Linked DNA regions of Coturnix japonica. The protein of the gene in region 4 interacts with the protein of the main gene of each other region in a pairwise test. Links are inferred from orthologs where the notes say so. Each region holds a gene or a part of one and is shown on either strand. Other genes may lie near its edges. The genes, in order: CCDC148, DIPK1B, CASP7, SAT1 and KCNA4.

The links.
Region 1: the proteins of SAT1 (region 4) and CCDC148 interact in binary tests that used the Homo sapiens proteins (3 or more experiments, as listed by UniProt). The two-hybrid records come from large-scale screens. The link is inferred for Coturnix japonica from reciprocal best matches to the Homo sapiens genes SAT1 and CCDC148.
Region 2: the proteins of SAT1 (region 4) and DIPK1B interact in binary tests that used the Homo sapiens proteins (3 or more experiments, as listed by UniProt). The two-hybrid records come from large-scale screens. The link is inferred for Coturnix japonica from reciprocal best matches to the Homo sapiens genes SAT1 and DIPK1B.
Region 3: the proteins of SAT1 (region 4) and CASP7 interact in binary tests that used the Homo sapiens proteins (3 or more experiments, as listed by UniProt). The two-hybrid records come from large-scale screens. The link is inferred for Coturnix japonica from reciprocal best matches to the Homo sapiens genes SAT1 and CASP7.
Region 5: the proteins of SAT1 (region 4) and KCNA4 interact in binary tests that used the Homo sapiens proteins (3 or more experiments, as listed by UniProt). The link is inferred for Coturnix japonica from reciprocal best matches to the Homo sapiens genes SAT1 and KCNA4.

Annotation. Positions count from the first base shown.
Region 1 is NC_029522.1:33,155,833-33,160,134, forward strand, and holds the end of CCDC148 (coiled-coil domain-containing protein 148), read right to left. Parts: intron 3,390-4,302; coding exon 3,272-3,389; intron 2,180-3,271; coding exon 2,039-2,179; intron 744-2,038; coding exon 597-743; 3' UTR 503-596; downstream 1-502.
Region 2 is NC_029532.1:6,229,805-6,234,058, forward strand, and holds the start of DIPK1B (divergent protein kinase domain 1B), read right to left. Parts: upstream 2,804-4,254; 5' UTR 2,648-2,803; coding exon 2,585-2,647; intron 1,080-2,584; coding exon 945-1,079; intron 25-944; coding exon 1-24.
Region 3 is NC_029521.1:24,406,378-24,410,339, reverse strand, and holds the start of CASP7 (caspase-7), read right to left. Parts: upstream 2,801-3,962; 5' UTR 2,740-2,800; intron 2,656-2,739; exon of another isoform or gene 2,433-2,655; intron 2,016-2,432; coding exon 1,903-2,015; intron 1-1,902. UniProt on the Homo sapiens protein: Thiol protease involved in different programmed cell death processes, such as apoptosis, pyroptosis or granzyme-mediated programmed cell death, by proteolytically cleaving target proteins.
Region 4 is NC_029516.1:107,414,831-107,418,933, reverse strand, and holds the start of SAT1 (diamine acetyltransferase 1), read right to left. Parts: upstream 2,810-4,103; 5' UTR 2,596-2,809; coding exon 2,530-2,595; intron 2,333-2,529; coding exon 2,113-2,332; intron 970-2,112; coding exon 868-969; intron 759-867; coding exon 718-758; intron 444-717; coding exon 273-443; 3' UTR 1-272. UniProt on the Homo sapiens protein: Enzyme which catalyzes the acetylation of polyamines. Substrate specificity: norspermidine = spermidine >> spermine > N(1)-acetylspermine. This highly regulated enzyme allows a fine attenuation of the intracellular concentration of polyamines.
Region 5 is NC_029520.1:5,295,396-5,299,442, forward strand, and holds the start of KCNA4 (potassium voltage-gated channel subfamily A member 4), read left to right. Parts: upstream 1-1,244; 5' UTR 1,245-2,039; intron 2,040-2,834; 5' UTR 2,835-3,633; coding exon 3,634-4,047. UniProt on the Homo sapiens protein: Voltage-gated potassium channel that mediates transmembrane potassium transport in excitable membranes. Forms tetrameric potassium-selective channels through which potassium ions pass in accordance with their electrochemical gradient.

The DNA.
Region 1 (4,302 bases), on a different chromosome or scaffold from region 4:
TGAAAGACTGTCAGCACAGAATGGCTTCCATGATTGGTTTCCAGTAAACACGACACAGCAAATCGGTTTCTAAACATGGACAAAGGTTAAGTTCCTTCTTACAGTCATCAAGGAATAACAGGAAGATCTTATAATTAAAAGAACCAAATTCTCAGGCAACCTGGCATGAAAGTTATGTGGGATGTCTCCATGTAGCACAACATAATCTAAGCCACTGTGAAGCCTTTGGGTTCTACATTGCCAATTGGAATCCAGAATTCCGACCTTTGCTATGCATCAAATTGACCAGCAATGTTTGCAGAGGTCTTTCCCATCCCTGGCTCTTCTGCTGGGAAGAAACACGGGGAATCCTGCAGCACGGGGAGCTCTAGAGCAGCCCACCCCCACCAAACCTCCTCAGAGCCTTCACCCAGGCACCAGGCGGGTGCCAAATGTGGTACCAAACACTACAGGAAAGGCGCATCCTTTTCTTAAATGACTGCACACCGTGACAACAGAGCAGTTCCAAGACACAGCAATGGGAAATTTATTGTAAGCTCCACTGTTACGGCCCAGACTACAGCCCTGGAGCTTCTCTGCTCGATACACAACGTGCTCTACATTTTAAACACTGTAGATTCCATATCTCTTCTGGGAAGCTTCGGTGGAGGAATCTTTGGTAAAATCTCTTTTGCATAAAGTGTTTTATGAAGCCCAGCTTCTCGAAGGGCTGCCTCGACACGAAGCCTGGGGTCAGAAATGATCTGTCAAAATAAACCACAGCGACGATGAAACAAAACCATACTTTCCTCATTTACACTGTGAGTAAAGATGCACCTAAAGGCCATTTGTGAATGTATGTGCAAATACATACATTCTATATGTTTATAACAAAAGAGTTCAAAGGGTGATTAAAAATGTTTTGGTCATAAAACAGAGACTTTGGAAGCGAAGAAGCTCAATGATGAATAACTCACTACATGTATTTTAATATCACCCTTTTTAAAGGGTGATAAGTCTCACGTATCAGCCTCACATGCACCTCTTCAGAGCACCCTGAAAGCCAGGCTTTTCCAAACCTCACAACACCCAGTGGATCTGGGTGAATTTTCTTAGCCAAACATAGACCTTTGCATTAGAAATCATTCCCATTCTGGAATCTGGAAATGATACTGACAGAAAGAAAAATGCTATTATGTAGTTCCATGGCATAAAAGCTTTATTTTAGCATTGAATAAGCTGAAATGTAATGATGTCTGATACCATGCTTGTCCGGCACTTCCCTTTTTATGACATTTTAAAGCTTCTCAGTTTCAAATGCACACTCTGACAGATGGAGAGCAGTAAAGGAAACAGAAAATCCCTCCCTTTGTTGTTTAACTTCAGTTGAAATAGAGCTAGCACTCAGCAGAGCGGGCGACCTGAGAACTACTTCACTGCTTAGCGCTGACTGGCTTCTCCTTTAGCCCTCACATCCAACATCCCATCTGATTTTCAGTTCAGCAACAGCGAGCAGGTAGCCACCATTCTAACTTTCAGTTTATGAAGAGATGCATAATAAGATTCCAAAATGAAAAGGATACCCCACCATGAAGTTATCTGTGGCACTGGTCCTCCATGCAGTAAGGAGGATTTTAACTTCACTTCAGATACTCAGCACAACACCAGCAGGAGCAGGTGAATAGGAGGCACTTTTTAAAGTGAGCGTGCAGAGGCATGAAAGGAGTGAGTTTTGAACTGGAGCAATAGCAAAGCACTCAGCAAGCAGCCAGCACCCAGCGGCCGCCTGGTCCTGCATGCTCCATGGTGGGAGATGCAGCTCAGGGACAGCACCGCAGCCCCTGGGGCACTGTGTCTGTGTGCTGCAGCACTGCAGACTCCTGGGCACGGAGCTGGCTCCACCCATTGCTCCTGAGGTTTCTAGTTTTTTTAGTCACATCCATTATACTCCATGTTCTGCTATTAACATTACCATTTCAGCTGTGCAATCATCATCATGTATTGCTCTCACAGTATGACTGCATACAACAAACCACGCAGTACAGTGACAGACTATTACCTGCTCTTCACTGTATGTTTGCAACTGAAACAGAGGCTTTTGAAGAACAAACTCTCCTGTGGTCCCAATGCCCATCCGAGCTTTAGACGCTGCAGTATCAGCCACCATTCTTGCTGGATCTGGTTTTGCTACAATGGAAACCTGAAGTACGTGATATGAAAACAGCCATTACAGTCTGCGTAGGCCTGTGGTGCTATCAGTAACATGTGTCCCTTGAAAATACAATCACTGACATGGTTTAGAACCTGAAGCCAATCTGCATCCATATATAAGTACTGTAGAGCCAAAAAGTTGAGCCTAGAGTCCGTGCATCCCCTCAGGGCACCCTGTGAGTGCACACAGAGCCCTGAGCACACACACTGCCCCTCTGCAGACCCCTCCCCAGCACAGCTCAAGGCTCTCCAAATGATCCCAGCAGCACAGCCAGGCCCTGCCAGCAACCGCCAAGTGCTGTAACACAGAACAGAGGGGAAGATACAAGATGTGAATGCAGGAAAACTATCTCAGAACGAACAGTGGAAACCACTTTGATGCAATGAAATTCCTGATGGAGACAATTCAGTTGCCTAGACTTTATATAGCACCGTGCATGCCTGGTAAGCGCAGGGCTGCCACAGCCTGGAGAACTGCCTGCTACATGGGCAGGCTGCACACAGAGCAACCCGCACACTGTGAATGCCAATGCCAGTACTTACTAAATGAAATAAACGTGAAAGATGAATGGCATTTCTGTAAAGAGAGAGCTCATGTTGCTACCTCACAAATGCTGCAGGGAAATAAGCTTATGTTGAGCTCCAGGTGACCAGAGGACAGCCCCTCCTGAGGAGATGCACCGCTGCTCCGTGTCATAAGGACAGTGCGTGGCCATGGTTGCAAAGGAGACCTCAGGGGTGGTACAGCAGAAGTGCCAGCATCTGCAGCTCTAGCACAGATCAACACGAGCTCTGATGTTCACAACCCATAACCAGAAGCAGTCAGCAGGCTCAGTTTAGCCACGTCCATATTTCTGGACATCATAGTCCACTTTAACTTCTTAATATTCTTGTTGGTTACAAAGCACATAAGATTTATAGCATGACAGAATTAACATTAACGTCAGACCTAAAGTGCATTTCAGCCTCTTCATTTATTTGCTTGTGGCGTAACATTTTGTTTTAACTTCCTCATAATATGTCAGTATGCGTTTCTGTCTCTACTGCATCTGCAAATACCACACATAAGAAATAGAAGCACCTTTTGTCGGAGCGCTTCCAGGCATTTCTCTTTCTCTTGTGCTGCACGTGCTTCTCGAAGGGCCTCTTCCTTTCTCTCCAGGATCCGCTTTTCGAGCAGCGCTTCTCTAAACTTCACCCTGTAGAACAGCACACACACAAACAGGAAAACCGGTCAAGTCCCACTTTAAAGTTGTTACTTTCCTATTGAAAACTTGCCTGATGCTCTCATCAGAACTCCTGACAAATGCAAAGAGTTCCTTTCCCTTTACATATTTCTTGTAAGTTGCTTAGCCTTTCAGACTTCATTTCTACAGCCCTAGCTCCTCTCTAGCAAGCCTTAAGCTTTATAGCACCATTACTCACTTTTTTCCATTTTCTTTGCCAAGAAGAAATGTTCTTTGACATCTGTGTATGGCAGCACAACTGTTCCCTGTAACCCTTTCCATTTAAAGAAACCGATCCCTTCCAAGAAGCAAGAAAACTCATGAATTAAAAACCTTCTCCAAAGGAACAAGCAGAGCACAGCACAAATAATCCTGAGGCTTTACTTGCAGCACTACCTCCACTGCTCAGCAGCCCTGGCTATCTGGCATCCACGCTTATCTGGTGAGACCAGAACGCAGCAGTGAGTCTGGGGTATATGTATATATTTAATAATTATTTTATAAGCCCAATCGCTCAATTTAAAATTAAAAATAGAAAGAATTCAGGCTAAGGGCAGAACATTCTTTGGTATCCGACTGCATCCATTAGGAACACTCTGAGTTTGCCCAGGCTGTCTCTCCCACTTGGAACAGTCAGCCAGCTCACACACATCAAGCCTTCTCCTTTCCCAGGAAAGCCTGACACATCAGATCAGAATCGCTGTGCTACTCGGATCCAACTCTTACAATCAGCTCTGCAGAGGCTTAAAAACACGTTGTGCTCCAGAACAGGCTAAGCATGTGAGGATACAATTAGTTCCTATAGAACTGCAGTCCTTCACCGTGAAACCATTACAGCAGCATGCCTGCCTTCAGTACAGCACATGCCTGATGCCATGCTAGTAGC
Region 2 (4,254 bases), on a different chromosome or scaffold from region 4:
GATTCCTTTCTTGTACTGGTCGCACTGGGGAGGGAAAGCAGAGAGTGGTTTCTCATGAATGCCATTGCATCCATGGTGAGCCTGTTTCCTCTGATTTCATGCAAACCTCATACAAGAGAAAACCCCTCTTTAAAAGGGGCGCATCTGATTGCAAAGCCACTGCCAAGCAACAGGCATCTCCAGCAGGAGCCGGGTGATGGTGAGGATGCGCGGAGGCTCTCAGCAGAGCAGCAGCCTGTGCTATGAGATGGGTTGGCCCCTGTTCATGCCATGGCTCTGGTCCACAGGCAGGGCAGCTCGCTCGGTGAGCTGGAAGCATCCAGGAGTGGGAGAGGCTGCAGCTCTGCAGTCAGCAGCGCGGGCTCAGCAGCCTCAGGCTGGAAACAGGCGCTACAGAAATTCACAGCATCTATTGCCTTTCATTATGGTTTGTTTTTTATTCAGTGTGGATAGGAATTAACCCTCAGACCTGCCTACACGGGCCACAGCTGGACACGGTGCCTTAAACACCAAGCTCAGAGCAGGAATTAGCACCCGAGACCCCACGGTCGGAGTCATGCAGAAAATCAAATTAAACGATTGCTGCTGTTGTTATGGCAATTCCTGCCTCCCTGCTCTGCAGAAGGGTTGATGAACAAGGTGTTTCCAGGCAGAGCCTCGCTGTTCTGCTCCCTCCCTGCCAGGCTGGGCAGACCTGCAGCAGTACTAAGGAGCTCTGCTTGGCCACCATCCCCAGCTGGGCTCCTGTGCAGGGTCTCCCTGGCCTGCTTCCCTCTGACATCTATTAGGTGAGTTTGCCATCGCCCTGCCAGAATTAAGGTCACCTCCCCAGCCTGCGAGCTCAGCGTGATGCTGGGGATGGAGCCAGCACAACGCAGCCCCAGCACTGCAACCACAGCTGCTCCCGGTGGCACAGCTCACCCTTTCCCCACGCCATCACTCACGATTATCATCCGGCAGACGTGGCCACGGCAGAGCTCAGAGTAGGATGAGTAATGCATGTAGGCCACCCAGCTGCCCACGAAGATGCCCAGCCACACCACCAGCAGGTACTTCACCTTGATGCCTGGAAGGCGGTTCTGCAAGGGAAGGAAGACACAGTGAGTGAACACAGTGGTGCTCAGCTCATCGGTGCTGTCAAGAATTGGACTTTTCCAAACAAATCCATTGATGGAACCTTCAGCCTTTTTTCTGTCTATTATGCAACTCCTGCTGCAAGTAGGTCACTTAAAATTCCCTAAAAGCAGAGATTACAGCCACTCCCCAGCAAAGCACTCTGCAAAACTTCAGTGCCCACCTGACCCTCCTTGCACCTCTCATGTGGGTGATGGACCATAATTGGGAATACTGAAGCATGAATGGACTCACAGTGCCCCCTGTGCCCATCAATCCCACCGCTAATTCACGCCTATTCCAAGAGAATCCTCCATGAGGGCTGGGTAAAAATAAAGGATGTCTGGATTTTCCCACAGGGCTGTGTTGCATCAAAGCCAAAGGCAGCCTGAAGCACTGGAGGCTGATACATTGTGAGACCCTCACAGCACAGCAGCCCCCACAGCCGTCAGCAGTGTGCACTGTACTGATGGAGAGGCACCTCTGGTCTGAACCAGCGGGTCTGGTTCCACTGCTGCTCCTGGATCTCTTCCCCAGCATGGAGTGACGAAGCCTTGGGCAGCTAAAACGCCCCTTTGGGCTCATTCAGATCAAGGATCCATCACGTTCCTGAGCAGACATGAGGTCAAGGCTAAAACCTGAGCACAGCATACGGGGTATTTCATTATCCATCAAAATGGTGGAAAGGAGCATGAAGGTTTGGGATGCACCGCAGTGAGGCTCCATTGGGTTCAGGGCACATTGTGGATCTTTGTCTGATGCTGCATTCCTCTCCCTTCCCCCCTCCCAGGACACAGGGGTGCCCTTCCCAGAGCCAGAGGGCATCTGTTACCCTGTCTTTAGTTTTAGGATGACTCCAAGGGATGTGGCAGTGATTTGGGTCCACAGCTGCCACCAAAGGCAATATGGACAGTGTCACCACCCCCGCGTGCCCTTGCCCCAATGCCACCAGCTTGGCCCTCCCTGCAAGACCCCAACCCCATGCAGCCACTCCTCAGGCCCTTGGACTTGGAGGGTGACAGAGCAGAGCCACAGATCTCAGCTCCCAACCAGTCCCAGCCCCTCAGTGCCCCCACCCCCCCCCCGGCCTCATGGGCTGAGGATGGAAAAGCAAATAAAAGAACAGGGAAAAAAAAAGCAAAGGGTGGAAGTCAGCCATGCTGCTGCACCGCTGTACATGTACGGGGAGTGGATGGGTGGGCGGATGGATGGACAGACGGATGCACACATCGACATGTTGGCGGTGCTGCGAGCTGCGCGTTATGCAACCAGCGTGGATGCTCGGTCCCCCGTCACTCCGGTCCCCATCCCATCGCTATCCTCAGCACCCGCACAGCGCTACGAAGCATCCCTTTGTGCGGGGATGGGCAGCACGGAGCCTCTCCCGACCCGAATCCCCCCCATATCCAGCCCCATATCCCGCCCCCCCCCCCCCCAAACCTCCCGGCCCGGATCAACCCCCGGGCGATACCTGCAGGCCCTTGGAAATGGGGCAGAACAGCACCAGGTGCACCAAGCGCCGGACCCTCCTCATGCTGCGGGCACCCCGCGGGCCTCAATCACCGGGGGGCATGGCTGCGGCCCCCGCCTCGCTCCGGGGGTCGGGGTAGGGGCGGGGGGCCGAGCCGCTCCGCCCGTCCACAGCCGCAGCGCTCTCGGCCCGGTTCGGCTCCGATCGGCTCGGCCCGGCTCGGCTCCGCCCGGCGCGGGGCGGTGCACGCAGCTCCGCCGCAGCTCGGGGGGGAGGAGAATTGGGGGCGGGGGGGGGGGAAGAAGCTGAGGATGCCCGGTGCCGTTGTTCGGCTGTGCCCGCTCATCAGCCGCCCCTCAGCCCCGCACTGACCCCGCTGCGTTCCGGGGGTGCCGCTCCCGATCCCGAGGAGCTGCGGAGCTCTGCGCGTAACGCTGCTGCGCCTTCTGAACGCCAAAGCCGAGCAGCAGCAGCAGCAGCAGCAGCGCTCCGAGTGTTGCGTTTGGGAAACCTCCAGCCAAACAGGGGCTGCTTTGTGCGGGAGAACGCGGCCGGATCAGCCTGTTCTGTGCGGGGCAGGAGCCGGGTGGACAGAGAGAGAAACAGGACGGGGAGCGCTCCGGGATGGCTCCGCACAAAGCTGCTTCTAAAGCTCCTCAGTCGCTATTCGTAGCTCCTCGCATTATCCACTTGTCCCTTTCTCTTCAGATCACCCCATTGGACTTCGGCTCCGGATGAGCCCCGAAAACACTTGGGGTGCTCGGCATCGTTGTGCGGGGATGGACGGCACCGCGTGGAGGCAATTAACGGCACATGGGGGGGCTGCCCAGGGTGGGCGCAGGGTGAGGGATGGGGCTGAACTGCTCTGAGTGTCGCTGCGATGGCCGGGGGTGGATCGTCCAAAGAATCTAATTAGGAACGAGCAGACCTTCGCCAGCTGTGATATGCCAAGTAATTAAGTGATTAGTATTGATTGCTGGGATGCTTAATGAGCAGTTAGAACCAAATGATTAATTAATTCAATCAAACGAGTGATAGCAATGCTGCAGGTGTTGGCTGGATCTTATGAGGGGGGGCAGTGGGACATCCCCATGGTGCCCACCCCCATCCATGTCCCAGGCTCATGGCTGAGGGTTCCAGGCTCTAATGCTCCTTCCTGTGCCCCCCACAAAGCTTTGGGGCCTCTCCCCCACACCATACAGCTGATTGGGCTCATTGGGGCTAATTGGTGTTGGTTTTATGCATCAAGGGATTAATAAGACCCTATGCAGCCCTGGGAGCTCTTCCAGTGCAGACAGCTGGCTGGAGAAGCCCTGGTGTCCTTTACGTATCAGATCAATTGGGATAGTTATAATCTAGTCCTTGATAAAGCTGAGAGCAGGTTTGCTGCCTTGCCAGCTCAAGGGGGGAAATAGCAAGCAGTGGGGAGGGGTGATGATGAACCCAGTGGTGCTGCTCCCAGCGATGGCTCCTGCAGGGAGCTGCACAGGGGCTGTTTGCCTCTGCATCTCACTGATGCTGTTCCATTGATCCTCTGTGACAGGTGGTGACTATGAGAGATTTTATATCCGGAGCCTTTAAGAGGCGTTAATTAATGAGAGGGGAAATGCAGAGAGGCAAAGTGTTATGTACCCCGTGTGGATTTGTTGTGGGTTTTGTTGGACTGGTTT
Region 3 (3,962 bases), on a different chromosome or scaffold from region 4:
AGAACAAATTAAAGAAATTCAGTCCAGAATATACTCTCACAGAAATCTGATTTAGGGACATCTCATATCAAAGGTTTTAATGTTAATATTCCCAGCGAATTTTTCTTCCACATACTCATCTGGGTTTTTCTGAATTCATCTAAGTATCAACATATGTATATCCTGTGACTAAAATTTTACATCTGTGTTCTGTACTATGGGGAAAATTGTGTCTGACTGATTGTTTTAATCTCACTCTATAAACTTTTCATTGGATGTCCCTTGTATTTTTTTTTGTGAGGCTCGATGAGCAATCATTCACCATCCACTTTCTCCTTTGTGACTGCCACTGGTTTTGGTCATAAACCGTCTTCCTTTATCCTCTCACATTCCTTTTCTATATTCCTGCAGGCCAGAGAGTATCTATAAGATAATGACCTTATCAGTGTACTTGGATTTTTAACATCTCATTCCACTTCAGGCTAACATAACTTTTGCCAAGCAGCCCTGATAGATTATTTCAGACTCAATAATTTCCTACAAAACCTCTATTGAAAAATCTCAAACTTTTCCTATTCAATCTTTTATTCTGTCTTTATTTTATGAGTTCCTTTTTATTTCTAGCAAAAGAGGTTTCAAACTTGTATCTTCAAGGATTTCCCAAAAGATGAATGTCTCAAACTGATGAACAGCCAAATTACTTGAAATTTTTCTTATATTTAAAAAAAAAAACAAAGCGATAGAAATGCTGATTCTTGCTTTTCCTTCAGGAATAATCAACTTGGAGTTGCATAATTGAGTAACGACATTAGCATATCACTTCTTTAGAAGATGTCATATTTTAAGACATACATCTTATAAATTTTAAAAGAAAACTTGGAAAAATGCTTGAAGTTTTAGAAACAAATGTTATGTTGTCTGTCTTGTATCATGTGCATTTGTGATAGTTAAAAATACACATCTGAAAATGCATTTGAGGAATAGGAAAATGATAGACAAAAAAAATTCTGTGCTTTGCTTTAGGGCACACCAAAAGTCATGTAAGACAAAGGCAGCTTCACTTCTCTCACATATCTCCCAGATGTTACACCCATCACATCCCTATAATACACTACAAAGATGAAATGATATTCTTCAAGTGCTTCCTCTGAATTATCCACACTGAAGTGAACAATACATGTCCAACAATAAAAAATTAAACCTCTGTAAATACAAGTATTTGTAATAAACACCTGTACTAACATATTGTAAGTTTACCCCATTAATTAGTATTTTCTGATCTTCAACAGCATTTGTTAATTTTGCATGTTCGTTGTTTAGCTGTTGCATTTTCAGCCACATTCATCTAGTGTTTTACAGACAATGAGCACATTGTTCTTGCTGCCTGTACATTTAATGAAAGTAAAATTATGCTTCAGTGAGTCTACTAGGCTAAAATGAAAGGCTTTTAATTTATTCTGTAATGGGTTACATCTCTAGACTCAGTGAGGCTTCTTTGTGCTACGGTCTAGATGGTGCATCCAGGCTTTAAACTAACTTAAATAGTCAGCAGGGGATTCCAACGATGTGAGAGATTAGCTGAGCTGAATGCAGTAAAATAGATAATTAATGGCATATTTCATTCCCAGCTCCACGAAAGGGCAATGTTTAAGATGAGGGGCTACAACTGACACTAAATGAACTTAGTGGTCTCTTGACTACCAAGTAAGCTGATGGGAGATATTATGGGTCTCTAAATCAGAGCAATGCAAGGGCTGTTCAGCTTTAGGGTACAGATTAAATATGTTAGAACTTATACAACACTGAGTGCCTATCAGACACTCTTTGATGCTCTGGGCATGGCAAACTGAACACTGCAATCCCATTTGAAGGGCAGTATCACAGCTGACAAAAAGAAAAACAGAAATGGATGTAGTAACTTACTTTGCAAAAAGTGAGAGTCTGCTACTCCTGTCTGGTTTCGCATCAACTATATCATCTTGATCTCCATTACTTCTCTCTTCAGAGGAACGATCAGCACACTGATCTCCTGACATCTATAAATCAAGTACAAGAACGTAAGCATCTCTCAGTGAGTGCTATTATTTCAGTATTTCCTAAATAAAGCTGTTAAATGGACGCATGGGGTTGCCAGTTTATGTCCTGTGGTCCTTAACCAAGAGCGGCTATAGATTTCTGGTGCTGCATTAAAGTGGTACGATACATGCGTGGCCATCTCTGTTCTGCCTTGTGGTGAATGCCAAAAAGTCTGACACTACTCCAAACAAGGCAGATAAGAACAGAAGTAAAAGTCACGTTATGATCTTACAACTAATTGCCAGAAGATTCTTCATTATCTGGAAAGAAGTGCGTTTGGAAGGAAGTAGATACATGCAAATAGGCTTAAAAGGAACTCTATCATCTTCCAAGGATATGATCTTAATTTTCAATTTCTGTTTGGTCTATATCAACAGCGTACAGTCCTTAGGAAAAAAGCAAGTGCTTCTTGGAAATGAAGTTGCAACACAGGAAGGAAGGAAAGTGTGCAGGCCACGGGCAGAAGGAGAAGATGCCCCAGCGAAGCGGTCCCACCTACGCAGGTGGAGGAAATCAGCGCCATCGATTGCAAATAATACAAGGAAATGGCTGTGCAGCCACGCGAAGGGTCGGACCGCTTCCAGCCCTCTGCAGCGCGAGGTAGGGGGACAGTGGGAGGGAGCGGGGCGGAATAGAGCAAAGCCCGAGGGACCCGAAGGGCAGGGGACTGGCAGCGGGGCTTGCCTTAACGCTGGGCTCCGGAGAGACGGAAGCGAAAGCAAAAGCGAAAGCAGAAGGTGGGGCCTGCGGGCAGAGAGCGGGGCGGGGTCTGTCCTTGTCCCGGTGCGCTCCGCCCGGTGGCCGGGCGTGCCGGCTGTCCCGGGGCTGTGGGGCTTAGTGTCCCCCTTCTTTCATCTTCATCCCAAAGATGAGAAAATTGCTGCTTTTTAACAGCAACGTTCCGACACACCCCCTCGAAAGAGGAACCTGAAGTTTCATGGTGACACGAGATTGTCTAGATCTAAGGAAATTTTTTCCCTTATATAAACTTCAGTGGCATTTCCTTATCTTTCCAATTATTCACTGTGTTGCATCTCCGCTAATTGTGATACCCCACTGTGTAGCCGTTGCATCGGACCCAGCAGTTCAGTGCATGGGCTGGAGATTGGCACAGTCTTGCTAATTACTCCTGGATACGGGCTCCGATCCTGCAAAATCACACACCTACCCAGCGGCGTGCGGTGTTTAACATTCGCTACCTGAAGAGATTCACATCAAAGCGACATTTTTCAGTGTAACTGCCTCATAATTGGCACAAAACACAGGCTTTGTAACAAACAGCCTTTTGCTTCTCGACAGGTCACCGCTTCGATGTGAGCGAGCAGTGTCTGAGCTGCGCATGGCTCTCGCCAAGCTTCTGTGTGCTGCTGCAGGGCCGAGCTCCGCTCTGTGGGATTATGCCTGTAGCTCCTGGTTGGAGACAGAGCCAAAGCTTGCTGCTGAAAATTAAGCTCTAACAGAGTCCCATGGCTCCTCTCACGCCATCTGTTAGCTGCTTCTTTTCTAGAAGCCAGCTCCATTTCCAAATCTGTAATAGATCTTTAAGGACAACAGAGGAACTAGAAATGTAATGGATCTTCAAGTAAATGTGTGGAGAGGTGAGGTGGGAGAGAGTTGTAGAACCATAGAATGGCTTAGGTTGGAAAGAACATTGAGTTCCAAACCCCCTGCCATCGGCATGTTTACCCCCCACCAGCCATGCTGCCCAGGGCTCCAACCAACCTGACCCTGATGCCTCTAGGGATGGGGCATGCACAGCTCTGGGCAGCCTCTGCCAGTGCCTCACCACCACCATCTCCCATGAGCTTTCTCTTCTCCAAGCTAAACAACCCCAGTCCTTTGATCAGGATTATGGCATAAACAGCAATGACTGGCACTGGTTCGTGAACATCCAAATACGCTTTCCT
Region 4 (4,103 bases):
GTACATTGTACACATTTGAATGCCACTTACAAGAATGAAGTTTCCATATACAAAGATTACAAGTTCACACTGGTAAAAGGATGGATACAAGCACGTATTCAACTTGAGATGCCTCCGCTCCAGCTGACGGTACCAATTACTCTATGACCATGGTTGCACAGTACTACCATCCACTCTATTTTATTCCACTACCAACACAGAAAGCAAGAAGGGGTTTATTCAGAGAGCGCGTATATTCATTGCAAGAGTTTAGTTGCTGGAATCTTCTCTCACTACTCTTCCGTTGCCATCTTCAACAGATACTCCTTGTCGATTTTGAAGAGCCTCCAGCCCTCTTCAGTGGACAGATCGGAGGCGCCCCTTCTCTTGTAGAACCTGATGGAGGGCTCGTTCCACTCTGCCACTAGGAAGTGCATGCTGCTGCAGCGGCACTTGACAGCAACCTGCAGGAACGCAAACACAGGTCAGCGGGTCTGATGCTAAGCAGCACCAGCTGCAGATTGCTCCGAGTCATGATGTTCACTTTATCTCTCAGTTCAGCCTCTAGGCAGTGGTTAAGGCTGCCTGGAGCTCTGTCATTTCTCTTTTAGTAACTCATCAATGCTAATCCTGTGTAGTGCTCAAGGAGAAACTTGATTGCAGCTAACAGAAAATCAAGACTACTGCTCCATCATGCATCCCCAGTGCTGTTCATTTAGACTTAACACTCAGACATACCTGACTCAGATTCTTCAGGATTTCTGATCCAATGCCAAGTCCTGAGGGAAAAAGCAACAAAAATATACAGTTTAAGGAAAAAACAGCAAGACAATTTCAATTTTAAAGTAGCTCTGTAGGAAGCAGCTTGTCTGATTCCATAGTACTTACCTCTGTATTCAGCCATCACATAGAAATCTTCAAGATACAACAGCTTCCCAATCCATGGATCGTAAGTGAAGTAATACATAGCAAAGCCCACGATGCTGTGCCCTGAAACAAAGCACGCAGCTTTAGCTGGTCTGAAGCTACCGATTTGCATTAAGTCTTACATGCATATTTAAATATACAGATAGTGACATGCAGCCGTTTGCTATAAGGTTAGAATAAGAATGAAGCACAACTGGAAACGTCAGTATAAACTGGCATCAACCTAACGGAAGACTGCCCTCTTCACACCCTGAAACGCTCAAGAGCAATGTTATAATAAGCAGTGAACAAAAAGGCTTTATTTCTACTAATACATACCCTACTGATTTATCAGCACTTCCCTTCTGGAATACAAAGCAATACAGAGCAGTCCAAGGCCTAGGTAACCGCCCCAACACTGCCTTGCTTGGCAACCCCGACAAGCTACAAAGCTCTACAGAAGGTTCATCTTCCAATGTATTGCTCAGTAGAGAGAAGACATGCTCAAAGACAACTGGTACATTCTGATACATTTCTGATACGCTGACATATGTGCACACTGATTGTATTGTGCTGTTTTGAATTCAGCACCAACAAATCAAGCTACATAGAACTGCAGCTTCAAGTACAGCTGCACCACTCAACAGGGAAGAGAAACCAGCTCTTCCTGCAATAACATATTCAAATCTAAGCCTTGAAAATCGCAATGTCTACCATCATACTCTGCACATACTCTAAAGGAAGCGTGCAATAACTTCTGATCTACTGTGTCTTTGGTAAAGGTTTGGGAATAGCACTTGTCCCTGTAGACCTTACCTCATATTATGATCATCTACTTTATTGTGTAACGGATCTTTTAGTTACCTCCCCGCCCATCCATGTACACAGAAGGGCCATGTACATGGCGAAGCTAGAGACTGTAACCTGAAGATTGGGGACAAATTAAAGAAAACATGTGATTCAACAGGATTACATAAGGTTAAGTTAGGGTCAAACAAGAAAAGCCATTTAATTACTTGGCATTAAGTACATTGTTACACCTGATCATCCAGCATCTCCGAGGTTAGCAACTACTTCACAACAGCACGGCTCTACGTTATCGCCATTTTTAAGCTTAGCCTGTTCCTCCTGCCCCGACTCCTCGCTGGAACCTCAAGTCAGGTAGGTCACAATAAGCACAAGGCATCTCTTATGTAAAAAGAACAAACGAGCGGCGCAATATCTCACCTTCAGCCGACCACTGCTCTTTGGGCACCTCCGCAACGAGGCAGTGGTAGAACGGGTGCTCACCGAATCCATCCTCCAGCAGCTCTACGAGAGCAAAACAAACGGGACCCTTCAGATGCGGGCGGCGGCACCGAGCCGCAGCAGGGCGGGCAGTCGCTGCAAGCCTACCTTTCTCGGTTAGCACCACTTGATCCTCCATGTCCTCGTACTTGGCTAGTTCCTGGAACGGCACAACACGTCAGCCGCCTCCCCCGGGCCCATCACCCCTCCTCCCTCCTTCCCTCCCCCCCTCGGCCTTGCGCAACGCCCTGTTTGCGCCTTCCCCGGGTTCGGCCGCCTTTCCTTCTCTCCCCCCCCCCCATCCCATCCCACCCCCCCCCACCCCATCCCTCTTGGCCTAACGTTGGCGTCCCGCACCTTGATCAGTCGCAGCAGGTCTGAGCAGTCCTCGGGACGCGCGGCGCGGATACTGAACGAAGCCATTTTCGACGGCGTTTCCCCCTGCGGCCCCCTCGGCTGACGAGTCCCCGGTGTGTGAACAGGAGGAGCAGCTGTTTCTTCATTCGTGTCCCGGGCGCGGCGGCCACCTGCGGTCAGTCAGGCTGCGAGCATGTCCCGGCGGCGCTCGGCAAGCAGACGGCTCCCACCCGACAACAACCCCGATCCAACGCCAACTGCGCCGGCTGCGCATCCTCCGCCTCCATTTATAGATGACCGCGCTCCGCCTCTCCCCGCACGACAGCCAATGGGAGTGCCCGCAGCTCTCGCCCCCAGCCAATGGTAGCGCCCCTCCCCGGAATCTTGCCTCGCCCTGCCAGCAACAGCTGCCGCCGGTGTCTCGTGACTGCCGGCCGCCATGGCGCCCTCTGGCGGAGGCGGGAGGCGCAGCAGGACAGGCCCCCCCTGCTGTATGTGAGGCTCGGGGCGGCTGTGCCACTCACACCGTTTTCCAGTGCACACCATGGCTTAAGAAGTTCACAGAATTGTAGGGGTTGGAAGGGACCTCTAGAGATCATTGAGTCCAACCCCCCTGCCAGAGCAGGCTCCCTACACCACGTCACACAGGTAGGCGTCCAGGCGGGTCTTGAATATCTCCAGAAAAGGAGACTCCACCACCTCCATGGGCAGCCTGTTCCAGTGCTCCGTCACCCTCACTGTAAACAAATTATTTCTCACATTCATGTGGAACTTCCTATGCTGAAGTTTCACCTTCATTTAGACACAGGGACCAGTATGGAACATGATACTGCCCAAGGATTGGATGGAGAAGTGTATTCTGGTGTCCAGGTTTGGTCAAGAAAACCATCTGGCACATGCTTAGAGCCCTGGAAGGCTCTAACATCTTAAATTCACCCTAAATCCAGTTTAGCCTCCATTAGAACAAATATGGAGCTGTCCAGAGAACAGATGCATATAAAAACCAGGAAGTGGCAGTCACAAAATCACATAATCACAGAACTGTAGGGGTTGGAAGGGAACTCTGGAGATCATGGAGTCCAACCCTATAGCAGGTTGCACAGGAAGGCATCCACAGGGGCCTTGAATCTCTCCAGAGAACAAACTCCACAGGCTCTCTGAGCAGCCAGTCCCAGGGCTCTATCATCCTCACAGTGACGAAGTGAACTTCTTTACAGTGAGGGTGACGGAGCACTGGAACAGGCTGCCCAGGGAGGTGGTGGAGTCTCCTTCTCTGGAGATATTCAAGACCCGCCTGGATGCCTACCTGTGTGACGTGGTGTAGGGAGCCTGCTTTGGCAGGGGGGTTGGACTCGATGATCTCTAGAGGTCCCTTCCAACCCCTACAATTCTGTGATTCTGTGATCTTCCTCATGTTAGTACAGAACTCTTTGAGTTCCAGCTGCATTGCCCCTTGTTCTATTGCTGCTCACTACCAAAAAGAGTTTGCCCCATCAACATGACTCTCACACTTTAGGTATTTATAAACAGTTATGAGATCCCCTCTCAGCCTTCTCAGCTACCAAAACCAGGTC
Region 5 (4,047 bases), on a different chromosome or scaffold from region 4:
TTCTCTTTGAATACTATGAAAATATAAAGCTGAATGAAGTGAGTTGTAGTACTGATCTGTAAATATATAAAATTGTTGTTATTGTTTTGATTTTGAAACAGATAAAAGTGTCTTTTTTGCATTTCACAGTACTTCTGACAAGGCCATTAGGACCTTTTAATATTAATTTGGTTGTTCCTTAAGTCTCCCTTATACAGTTGCACGTCAACCTACCGGCATGAATGAGATGAAGAGTACAAGTGCTGATGGAAGCAGGCAGTAGAGACAGATATAACATGAATTATCTGGCTTCTACCACGAGGGATCTGAAGGGGAACAGCCTGTAGGTTTCTCTGGGCTGTGCAAAAGGAGTAGGCCTGGGCAATGACAAACGTGCCTCACCCACTTGCTGCACCATTCAGTTTGTGTCCCTGTACTAACACCTTAAGGTAAGTGGTTGGAGTGAGTGCTGCTCTTCTTTCATTCTTACTGAAGTCCCAAGTCTTTATTTTGCTTATCTTGCACTAAGGAGAAGCATCTGCACATTTTATTGAGGCAGTGGAATTGTAGCTGTACTATCAGATATAGCCAAGCTGCATTTTCATGGTATCAGTCCATAGGTAGATTTTCCAGATGGGGAAGGAGTATCTGGTTTGCGCACTGCAGGTGTTTCAGCCTGAGGGTAGAGGGAGCAAAGACATGTATCCTTTAGCAAGAGTGTCAAAATGATATTTTAGGTCTTGTCTACAAATATGTGAAGTAGTCCTATTCATGAACTGGGACCTTCTCTTCTGTATATACAGGATTAGGGGTAAATGGTTAAATTGGCTTAGGTGACAAGAGCATATGGCTGCTGAGCAGTGGGAATCGCTCTCTGAAGGTATTAGGAGGACAGAGGTGGAGCCAGCTTAGTGCTTTTTCTCAGATGCTCAATATGTGTTTGTTTTTGCACTTTACAGCCACCTTGACAACCCGTAAGCAAACAAAACTAACAGAAAACAAAAACCCAAAGGGAAAGGGAAAAAAAAGCAAAGAAACCACGACAACCAGAAACCAAAACCTGCAGCACTGCTTTGGGAACGGAGATTTTTGGATGCATTATTCAGCGCTGGAGCGTTAATCTCCGGCATTAACGCTCCCATCCACAGCCGCCTCTGGGCCGGGAGCAGTGCGAGGCGCGGCCGCGAGGGGCCGACCGCGGGCCGGGAGCGATGCGATGGAACGGCCGCGGCCCCACGGCTGCTCCCGGCGGCGCGCAGGCTCGGCGGGCGGCGCCTCCGCGGAGCAACAGGGCTCGCGTCGGCAGCATCGCAGCGGACGGCCGCGCAGCTCCTGCGGTTGCTGGCTGCTGCAGCTTTGCACATCGGGCGGTGGGAGCCTGGTGGGAGAGAGCTGCTGCTTTTTCCTCGGGTGGTTTTCCTTTTTTTTTTTTTAATTTATTTTTTTAATCAATTATTGTTATTTTTATGGGTTTTATAAGCGTTACCAAAAAAACAAAAAAACAAACCGCACAACAAGTGAACGATGCAGGTAGCTGCTGCTGTGTGGATGTGACGGGGAGAAACAGCAAGAAGCAACACTCGTCCTCCCATCAGTGAGTGGAAATAGGCTTGGTACACGGATTACTTAACGTTGCTTTACAAATCTACAGCAGAAGCCGGGCTCGGGAAGCCTAGTGATCACGCTCATCCATTCATTCCTTTTCTCTCTCACACACGAACACTCTCACATCCTCCCCTTCCCCCTCCTCCCCCTTTTTTTTTTCGTTCTTTTATCGTTTTGGAACAAGGCTGTTGCTTATTGCCTTTTTGCAATCGCCTGGGTGAGAAGCTGCGGTTGTGCAGAGTGCCCCCAGCTTAAGCTGCCTCCTTGGCTCGTTCTCGGCTCTCTTGTTGCACAGGGAAAGCAGAGAGAAAAATAACTCGTCAACCTGTGGTGCCGACCGACCTACCCACCCACCTGCAGGCGTGGGTCAATTGGCGCAGCCCCCTGCTCAGGACTGCTGTCACCAGATCCTTACACTGGCAAGAACAGCACTGCTATTTGTCTGCCTATGAACAGTAAGTATTGCAGCAATCCTAAGACCCTTTTTTTGCACGACGTATGGGTATGATTTAAAAAGAAATAGCGGTCATTTAATTGTCTGTATTCACCTTCTTTCATATATTAATAGATACAGCTGTAGATGAGGGTTCTGTTTCAGAGGGGTGTGTGTATGTGAATTCTTGTATGTGTCTGCATGTAGATGTTGCTTCAGTGCACCTGCAGTAGTTTGACACACCATATCACGGTGTTTTCACTTGAGTGAGCATTGTACCTGCCTGTTTCTAAATTAAATTCAGTGAGATGTTTGTTAGGGTTGAAAATTCAGTTACCAATTAAAATATAACATTCTTAAGTCTGTTGTTTTTAGCAATACTATGAAACGCTCTTTGTTTAAATGCTTTTCTTATGATATTTCATGTAGATATATGTAGGTGTGCCTATTACGTATGCAGTCAAATCTCTGAATGCATAGGGTTTTACAGTATTTTATTGGTGTTTATGTGTGTTTCAGAAGCATGCGTTTGTGTATGGATGCAAGTGCTTGTATGGGTGGGGATTTTGTATAGCTGTCTATATATATATGACATACCCACCCACAACCTTATGAACAGAGTCGTTCACATTCTCTGTGCATGTGATGTGGGTGTGTGTGTAATGTAGAAGTGTGAATAGTGTGGGAAGGGGAAGATTAGAATACCGTGGTAATAGATGACACAGTTTCATTTGAGCAGTGTGACCTTTGAGGAAAACAATCCAATCTTCTCCCTTTTTGTTTTGTTTATTTTTGTGTGTTTGTGCATGTGCCTCAGGTTAAGTGCTTCTTCTGCATGACCATAACCAAAGGGTGACCCATCCACTCCCTTATGTCCTATGGGGACCTCAGAACCAATTTCTCAGTCTTCATCTCCTCCTCCTCCTCTTACCACTGCTGCTGACGCCCTGGGTGCTGCTCCCAGGTTTGAAACATTGTTGACAGGCTGAAGAAAGGATTTGCAAAGACCTCCTCACTGTGTAAATAGAGTGATGGCTGGAATTAGTTTCAACTCCCCAAATCATGATATTAAACAATAATAAGATTGCTAGGCCAAAGCATTACCAGGAACAAATTGTGAGGAAAGAGACTATTTGCATTTGGTTGCAATGATGAACTAAAATCATCTATGGAGAGCAGGTACCCTTTGTTTTGCATGTTTTTGTCTTCATGAATGTAGTCATGAATCTGATCAGATCAGTGGTAGATATGGGAAATAAATGAAAATAAAAGGGTTCAGTGGATGAAAGAATAAAGCCTCCGCTGTTCCTTGGTCTAGTTTGAGAGTTTCATCTTTTCTTATTAGTAAAATTATAGGTGGGTTTTTTTCCCTTTTTTTCCTTTTTTTCATTTCCCCCCTTCCCCTCCCCCCCCACAAGAGTTTTAGACAGTAAGAAAATGTAGATCTGTGGTTTCCCAAAATACAGATTCAGTGTTGCAACTATGTTGCCCCGCTCTGGGTCCAATGCACTGTCCTCCAAATGCAAATAGCTTTAAACTTTCTATGGTGAAAGTTAAGGTTGCACTGTAAATAAAACGAAAGCTCTTGCACTAAGCAACAAAAAAGCTGTTGCAAAATGGAGGTTGCAATGGTGAGTGCAGATAGCTCTGGCTGCAACAGCCATATGCCCTATGGATATGCAGCCCAAGCTCGGGCCAGAGAGAGAGAGCGGCTGGCACAGTCAAGAGCTGCAGCAGCTGCAGCTGTAGCAGCAGCAACTGCAGCAGTAGAAGGGGGGGCAACAGGTGGAGGTGGACCATATCACCACTATCACCAGGAACAGAGTCGAGGTGCTTCTTCCTCACATGGTGGGAATGCATCTCGCAGCAGCCTGCCTAACCGCCAGAGTGGTAAGAGATGGAAGAAAGGGAGAAAGAGGAGCCACCACTTGGGAAGCAGGGAGTGTGGAGCCTCTTTCCCCTGTTCTGAGCTGCTTCCTCTCAGTGGTTCTGAAGAGAGAATACTGAAAGACGTGAGTGAGGAGGAAGAG